Xenopus tropicalis: one gene and its partner. The protein of the gene in region 1 purifies or fractionates together with the protein of each later gene. This does not show direct contact. Links are inferred from orthologs where the notes say so. Each region holds a gene or a part of one and is shown in the gene's direction. Other genes may lie near its edges.

What was found.
Region 2: the proteins of pdhb (region 1) and pdhx purify together in Homo sapiens (affinity purification with mass spectrometry; 4 studies listed by BioGRID and IntAct, counting the BioPlex papers as one, with this or other methods). This does not show direct contact. The link is inferred for Xenopus tropicalis from reciprocal best matches to the Homo sapiens genes PDHB and PDHX.

Annotation. Positions count from the first base shown.
Region 1 is NC_030680.2:148,527,685-148,532,227, reverse strand, and holds the start of pdhb (pyruvate dehydrogenase E1 component subunit beta, mitochondrial), read left to right. Parts: upstream 1-1,522; 5' UTR 1,523-1,534; coding exon 1,535-1,570; intron 1,571-1,659; coding exon 1,660-1,719; intron 1,720-3,368; coding exon 3,369-3,476; intron 3,477-3,544; coding exon 3,545-3,607; intron 3,608-4,213; coding exon 4,214-4,249; intron 4,250-4,336; coding exon 4,337-4,543. Other genes in the region: BTB/POZ domain-containing protein KCTD6, read right to left, coding at 1,206-1,233. UniProt on the Homo sapiens protein: The pyruvate dehydrogenase complex catalyzes the overall conversion of pyruvate to acetyl-CoA and CO(2), and thereby links the glycolytic pathway to the tricarboxylic cycle.
Region 2 is NC_030680.2:11,153,576-11,157,392, reverse strand, and holds part of pdhx (pyruvate dehydrogenase protein X component, mitochondrial), read left to right. Parts: intron 1-164; coding exon 165-312; intron 313-3,817.

The DNA of each region.
Region 1 (4,543 bases):
CCTGTATTACCTACCCCCTCTATGCACCCCTGTATTACCTACCCCCTCTGCACCCCTGTATTACCTACTCCCTCTGCACCCCTGTATTACCTACCCCCTCTGCACCCCTGTATTACCTACCCCCTCTGCACCCCTGTATTACCTACCCCCTCTGCACCCCTGTATTACCTACCCCCTCTATGCACCCCTGTATTACCTACCCCCTCTACACCCCTGTATTACCTACCCCCTCTACACCCCTGTATTACCTACCCCCTCTATGCACCCCTGTATTACCTACCCCCTCAATACACCCCTGTATTACCTACCCCCTCTACACCCCTGTATTACCTACCCCCTCTATGCACCCCTGTATTACCTACCCCCTCTGCACCCCTGTATTACCTACTCCCTCTGCACCCCTGTATTACCTACCCCCTCTGCACCCCTGTATTACCTACCCCCTCTGCACCCCTGTATTACCTACCCCCTCTGCACCCCTGTATTACCTACCCCCTCTATATACCCCTGTATTACCTACCCCCTCTATACACCCCTGTATTACCTACCCCCTCTATACACCCCTGTATTACCTACTCCCTCTATGCACCCCTGTATTACCTACCCCCTCTATACACCCCTGTATTACCTACCCCCTCTATACACCCCTGTATTACCTACCCCCTCTGCACCCCTGTATTACCTACCCCCTCTGCACCCCTGTATTACCTACCCCCTCTATGCACCCCTGTATTACCTACCCCCTCTATACACCCCTGTATTACCTACCCCCTCTATACACCCCTGTATTACCTACCCCCTCTGCACCCCTGTATTAACCCCATCGCACCCCTGTATTATTATCCCCCCCCCCCCCGCAGCCCCATATCTCACGGTATCGCTGCGCTTGTGCCACACACGTCACTTTATCACCCCCCCCAGTAATGTACCCGGCCCAAGCTTTATACAGGGGGGGGGGGGGGGGGGGTCAGTCATTACCGCACTGCCCAATACCCCGGTGCTGCCCACATGATAGAAGTAAAGCTGGCGGGCCGCTCCATCCCCCCTGCCGGGGCCTCAGTGTCATTGCACAACCCCCAGCTGAGCGGAGATATTACGCTCCGAGCGGTACCCGGGCCGCACATGTAGCAGCTAGTGCTCCCCAAGCCTCCCCCCCCCCGCCCCAGTAATTCCGCCTTGGCCTCTCCCCAAACCCTCATACCTACCCACTCGCACACCCTTCGCATGAATCATCCCATTCGCAGCCTTCTCCCGTAAGGCGACAAGGATTACTTACTAAAAAAATTGTCCCTCACGACTACCCTTCCACGTCCCCCAAACCCACGCTACTGATTGGTTGTTGCACAGCAACATTCCCTCCCCGCTTTACAAGCTCTGTGTAGGCGGGGCCGTGTCAAGTTTATCGCAGAAATACAGTCACGCCTTGCTTTTCATTGGTCGCGCTGCGTCAGGTGACCGCCTAGCGCCGAGAGCGGATTTTTATTGGCAGAGGCGTTCGCGAAGGGCGACGTTTTGTCCAGAGGACAGAAGTAAGATGGCCGCCCTCAGGAGCTTGTTCTGCGGAGGGAAGGTAAAGAGACTAAGAGTTCGGGCCAGGTGGGACCTTTGCCTTTATTCTGTATGGATACTAAATGCTTCACTTTCCCTTGTCTTCTGCAGAGCTCGGTGTCCGTGTTTCTGAAGAGAAGCTTCCACAGAAGCACCCCGGCCGCCCTGCAGGTAACCCCTAGTACCTTAGCCGGTCTCCTGTGCTCGGTGTGGGGCTGGGAGAGTCCGCTGCTCCCTAGTGTCTGCTGGGACTCGGCTGCACTGGCTGTATAACCCTTCTGCGGAGCCTATTGGGAGGCAGAGCTGTCAGTCACTCCATTGAACCAATGACAGCCCAGCCCTGACCCCCACTGTGACCTTCCCCTATTCCCCTGCACAGAGGTTGTCATGGGAACCAAGTGACCACATAAGTACAATATAGTACTAGTTGTCCTTTAATCATCTGGTTTTTGTGCCATTGGTTCAGCGGTTGGAACAGCCAGACAGACACTGACTCCAATGGCAGTTATGTTTAATGATCTTTGTGAATTCTCTGTGTAATAATGAGTTGCAGTGTCATTGGCCACATTGGGCAAGTTTACAATGGAGACGAGGCGCTTAAGGGTTAAGGTTCAGTTTAAAAAAATGGGAAAGGATTAATTACTGTGAGAGCTGTGAATGGGGGCGGCCTAGGGGCAAGACAAATCTGGTGCTGTGGAGGTATGTCTTTTTTCAACCTAACTTACTATGTAAGTAACCCCTTTGTCTAGCCCAGTGATCCCCAACCAGTGGCTCAGGGGTAACATGTTGCTCCCCAACCCCTTGGGTGTTGCTCTCAGTGCCCCCAAACCAGGGAGTTATTTTTGAATTCCTGACTTGGGGGCAAGTTTTGGTTGAATAAAAACAAGATTTCCTACCAAATAAAGCCCCCTGTAAGCTGATAGGGTGCATAGAGGCCCCTAATAGCCAATCACAGCCCTTATTTGGCTCCTCCATGAACTTTTATGGTGCTTGTGTTGCTCTCCAAGTCTTTTTACATTTGACTGTTGCTCGTGAGAGGAAAAAGGCCTTCTGCTTTTTGGTTTTGGACAGCCTGTGTAGATCTAAAGGAAGCCCTTGTCTTACAGGACTCTGTAAGGATTATGTATGTTCAAAAGGGGGCGTGGCCACAAAGGCCTGGGCCTAGGGCGGTATAAATGTATGGGTGGCATGCTGCCCAGCCACAAGTGAAATTTGCTCACATATGGAGCACTGGAAACGGGATGCGCAGAAACCTTCAGTGAGTCCTGTCCCCCAGTGCTCCGTACGTGAGCGAAAATGATGCACGTAGTTCTGGGGGGCAGAGAGTGGGGCAGCCATTGGGGCTCCCCAAACGGAAATCCGGCACTGAGTGCTTACTGGTGTTATAAACTAAAGCCAGAATACATAAAAACAAAGTCCAAATGCTCCAAGTAATTTGATGGCTCTGATAAATGTTCATGATGGGGTGCTGCCGCCTTAATCTGCTGGTCCCAAACAGGCAGAAATCTACAAATAAATATAAAAGAAGGGGCGCGCTCCCATTGTGTAAAACCACATCGGCACATTTATTTAAACACAAGTACTGCACTTACAATTTTAGCTGGAAATAAAATCATTCAGGGATCTGTTGCTGATGGCTCCTTGGGGGAAACATGATGGGGCTGTGAGCAGTTTGCAGCAGAGACAAAGTATGAGGTATAGAATAAACCCATGGGATTGGGCCCAGATCAGGTTCTTGCTTTCTCAGATAATTAGGAACGATGCTTTTCATATTGCTTGGTGTTTACTAACGAGGTGCACGGAATTGTGTGTGTTTGCAGGTGACTGTACGGGATGCATTGAACCAGGCTATAGATGAAGAAATCGAGAGGGATGAAAGGGTGTTCCTGCTCGGGGAGGAGGTGGCCCAGTATGATGGAGCCTATAAGGTACCATTTCCTTAACGTTAAACATGGAAATGCTCAAATGTAAAGTCTAATCCCTGTCTACATTTCAGATCAGTCGGGGGCTCTGGAAAAAGTATGGGGACAAGAGAGTTATGGATACTCCCATATCTGAGGTATGAACCTGTACATGAAAGATATATAAATGCTGTGGGTCTGAGGTACTAACCCTGATCCATAAGCTTTGGGCTTATATTGGCTGCCAGTGACTGACAGAATGTCCATGGAAAGAACCAATAGAATTGCTTTTGCCAACTAACTGGATGCGATTGATCACAAGTAGCTAAAGTCAGCATCGGCCCATGCGTTTGGCCTTGACTTATCTGGCCCTACTAAGAAGTAACATTTGGGCAGTGCAGCTCTAGGATATAATGCTCTGAAGTACAGCAGTCTGTCTTACATTATTTCTTACTTGTCTGTTGTTCTGTCCATGGGCTCCTGCAGTTGAAACAGGGTTGGACTGGGGAGTGCAGTGCCCTGCAGGTGCCCCCACCAGCCGCGTCCCCTAACCCCCCCTCGCAGGGGCCCCCCTAAGCCCCCGCAGGGGCCCCCACCCAGCATCCTCCCCTGACCGCGTGTAAATTTAACGCGTCAGGGGAGGAGCAGTCAGGTAGAGGGAGCACAGCAAGGGTCGGGTCTGGGCTGCCGGGATTTTTCCCAGTGTCCCGGCGGCCCAGTCCGACCCTGAGTTTAAATAATGATCCTGTGTTTGTTCTCTATAGATGGGCTTTGCTGGAATCGCTGTAGGTGCTGCCATGGTACGTACATGATACAACTCACTTTTCCCACAGTATTTATAATTCAGTTTGGCTGTTCCCTGATGTGATTGTGCTGATTATACACAGGCTGGCCTAAGGCCCATCTGTGAGTTTATGACCTTTAACTTCTCCATGCAAGCCATCGACCAGGTGATCAACTCTGCTGCCAAGACCTACTATATGTCCGCTGGGCTTGTTCCAGTCCCCATAGTCTTCAGGGGACCCAACGGCGCGTCGGCCGGGGTGGCAGCTCAGCACTCGCAGTGCTTTGCCGCTTGGTATGCACACTGCCCT
Region 2 (3,817 bases), about 140 Mb from region 1:
GGCAATATTGGGCTGTATGAGTGCTGTGTGCTGACATAAATGCTATTTATACAGATTGCTTTATATAAATTCCCATGTCCTGCACCCTGCTGCAGCCTGTAGCGCATTAAAAGCACCGGTGCGGGCGCGTTCCGGGTAACCACCTTCTGAAAATTCCCTTTCAGGGCATGTTTTCTGAAATACCAGCCAGCAACATCCGAAAAGTGATAGCCAAGAGGCTAATGGAATCCAAATCCAGCATCCCTCACGCCTATGCCACGACCGACTGCGACATGGGAGCCGTGATGCGACTGAGGAAGGAGCTGGCCAAAGGTCGGTATCGGGGCCTCCATGTAAAAATAACTCAATGGGGAACTAAACCCTATAAAAGAATATGGCTGGAAATTCTATATTTTCTACAGGTATGGGATACCTTATCAGGAAACCTGTATCCAGAAAGCTCAGAATTACGGGAAGGCTGTCTCCCATAGAATCAAATTTAATGAAATAATTCAAAATTTTAAAATTTCTAATTGATCTCGACTAAGATATAACTAATCCTTAGTTAGGGGCAATGATTCTATTGGGTTTAATTCATTTTTAAATTAGCAGGCTTAAGGTATGAAGATCCAAATTATGGAAAGAGCCCTTATTCAGAAAACCCCAGGTCCCGAGAATTCTGGATAATGGGTTCTACAGCTGTATACTGAACCCTAGTATCTTCGTCTAATTCTTTGTTTTAGCTTTAGTTGCCCTTTAAACTTACAAACTGCCGCTGCACTGCACCCACAGCAGATGTGGCGGCCACGAAATTGACTAGTTACACCTTGTTCTCTGTCGGTGTTGGACTGGGGAGCCCAGGGCCCGCTGGGGCTGCCACTTTAAGGGCCCACCACCTTCACAAACTCCCTCTGTATCCCATCGCAATTTTCCACTCCACGCGTGCCTCTTCTCTCTTCCAGGCCAGCAGGGGAGTGTGGGGGCCCACAGATCCAGGCCAGCAGGGGGGTGTGGGGGCCCACAGATCCAGGCCAGCAGGGGGGTGTGGGGCCCCACAGATCCAGGCCAGCAGTAGGGGATGGGGCCCGCAGACCCCAGGCAGCAAAATGGGAGAAAGGCAGTGGTCCAGTCCAACCCTGTTCTATGTACCTTCTGCTCTTGGGCTGCTCTCCTTCCTGTTGGCCAGAAAGGGCTTGTTCTGGCTGAGACAAGGTGCTTTTGCCATAACATTCATGTCTGTTGGTGTTTGGGTCCGGACTGTCTATGGCATCTTACAACAGCCTCTCTGGCATTTGCCAGAACCCACAGATTGCCAGTCCGGGCCTGAGGCTTCATCAAATCGCTTTATATTGCCCATAGAGATCGGTGTAAAGGCAAAAATCTAGTCAAGCCCAAGTCCAGTCCCCCGGAGTCTGAACAGAGGAAAGAGAGCAGCCCAGGTGCAGATTAAATTCTACTTCTACGTATTCCATTTATCTTGTCCTTTACAGCCACCACTATTCCTGGGCCCCAGCGGAGATTTAAGACCCCAGATCTGAAGCAGCCAATTGTATCCCGGCACCGGGTTACAGAGTCATTGTCTATTTATGTACCAGCTAAATCTCATGAGGGGGGGAATTGTCCATTTCCACCTCATTTGTTATTGCTTCAGACAGGGTTAAATATATCCCACACAGACCACCGGAGCACTACAGAAAGGCTTTATCTCTGTACAGCAGCGCGGTCTGTTTTTTCTTTCTTTTCAGATAAAGAAAAGCCTAAGAAAAATATATATATATATATGTATGTAATATGTTTAAACTAATCCAGTGCATTTTTGTATGGCTCGACTTAGCGCCACTAATGGAGGGCTTATCTGCCAATGCCATCTATCTGCACAGGACTCTTGGTACCACACTTTCAGCCTGAGATCTGGGTCACACATTACTTATTCACTGGCAATTAGGGAGAAATTTGATAGAGAGCTCTGCATCTCTGATAATAAGCGGTGATTTATCTGACGTTCTCTTCTCCTAGACAGAAATGTGCAGTAATATTGTTTTCCAACAACGTTGTTGTATATTTGTATTTATACATATGGGAGGGAGGTGCCATAGTGTCGCCATAGTATCGCTCTGTGTGCCCGTAGGTGGGGGATATCGGGAGAAGATCCGCTCGCTTGGTGACATCGCCAAGCGAGCGGATCTGCCCGTGTATGGGGACCTTTAGGCTCTGGTGGAACGGATTGTGAATCCTGAAAATCACCTGACTTTTTTTGTTGCACAAACACGGTTCTTTTTAAACCTAAATTAGGATTCGGAATCAGTTCGGTATTCAGCCAAATAGTTCACAAAGGATTGGGGGGGGTTTGGCTAATTCCTAAAATAGTGTATTTGGCGCATCCCTGAACCTTACAGGTCTGGTGAATTGACTTCTGACTACACTACAGTCTACAAGAGTCAGAACCAGCAGTGCAGACAGACGCTGCTCTTAATAGCAATTCCATTGCTACGGCAAAGATGCTTGGAATGACATTTTTTTCTTCATTAGGGTGGAGTTCCCCTTTGATTTTACTTTCCGTTCCTCTGTCCTGGATCCCTGTGCCCTTTATTCTGCCAAGCGGCATCTTCCTTCTCCAGTGAATCACCATGCAATGTGCGCTCGTTTCGGATTAATTAAAACCACAGCCTAGGGTGTCCCGATGCTGGTGCAGAGCGTGACATTTCCTTGGGGTAGGGACATTCAGCGGGGCTCTGCTCACAATTAGGGAGTCGTTTGGCGCTGCTGCTGCTGGAATGTATTTCCTTCTCACGCCAACTGTACTCATCCCTTTAAAATAAACAGAAAAGCCGCAGGAGGTCCCCATATTCCAGATTGTATTTTGTCTGTTTTGTACACAGTGACCCGAAATGACAAGGGGATGGGACCTTATAATAATGGAGTTATTTTAAATTAACCCCATGTGGTCTGTCTCTTACAAAACAAATAAGGGAAGTGATCCTAGTGCAATAGGAAAAGCCCATCCCACACCTATACCACTGGAAGGAGAGCAGCCAAAGGGCAGGAGGGTTAGTAGTGAGGACAACTGGATTTACATATACAGGCACCCTCACCAAGCCCATCCCACACCTATACCATTGGAAGGAGAGCAGCCAAGCAGCATTACCCACACTTATAGCATATCCCACACCTATACTATGGAAAGGTGAGCAGCCAAGGAGCATTACCGCTATACTGCCTGTGATCATTGCAATAGAAAAACACCCTCACCAAGTTCATCCCACACCTATACCACGGGAGGGAGAGCAGCCCAGGAGCATTACCCCTATAGTGCCTGTGATCATTGCAATAGAAAAACACCCTCACCAAGTTCATCCCACACCTATACCACGGGAGGGAGAGCAGCCCAGGAGCATTACCCCTATAGTGCCTGCGATCATTGCAATAGGAAAACACCCTCCCCAAGTCCATCCCACACCTATACCATGGGAAGGAGAGCAGCCCAGGAGCATTTCCCCTATACTGCCTAAGATCAGTGCAGTAGGAAAACACCCTAACCAAGTCCATCCCACACCTATACCACGGGAAGGAGAGCAGCCCAGGAGCATTACCCCTATAGTGCCTGCGATCATTTCAATAGGAAAACACCCTCCCCAAGTCCATCCCACACCCATACCATGGGAAGGAGAGCAGCCCAGGAGCATTACCCCTATAGTGCCTGCGATCATAGCAATAGGAAAACACCCCTCCCCAAGTCCATCCCACACCTATACCATGGGAAGGAGAGCAGCCCAGGAGCATTTCCCCTATAGTGCCTGTGAACATTGCAATAGAAAAACACCCTCACCAAGTTCATCCC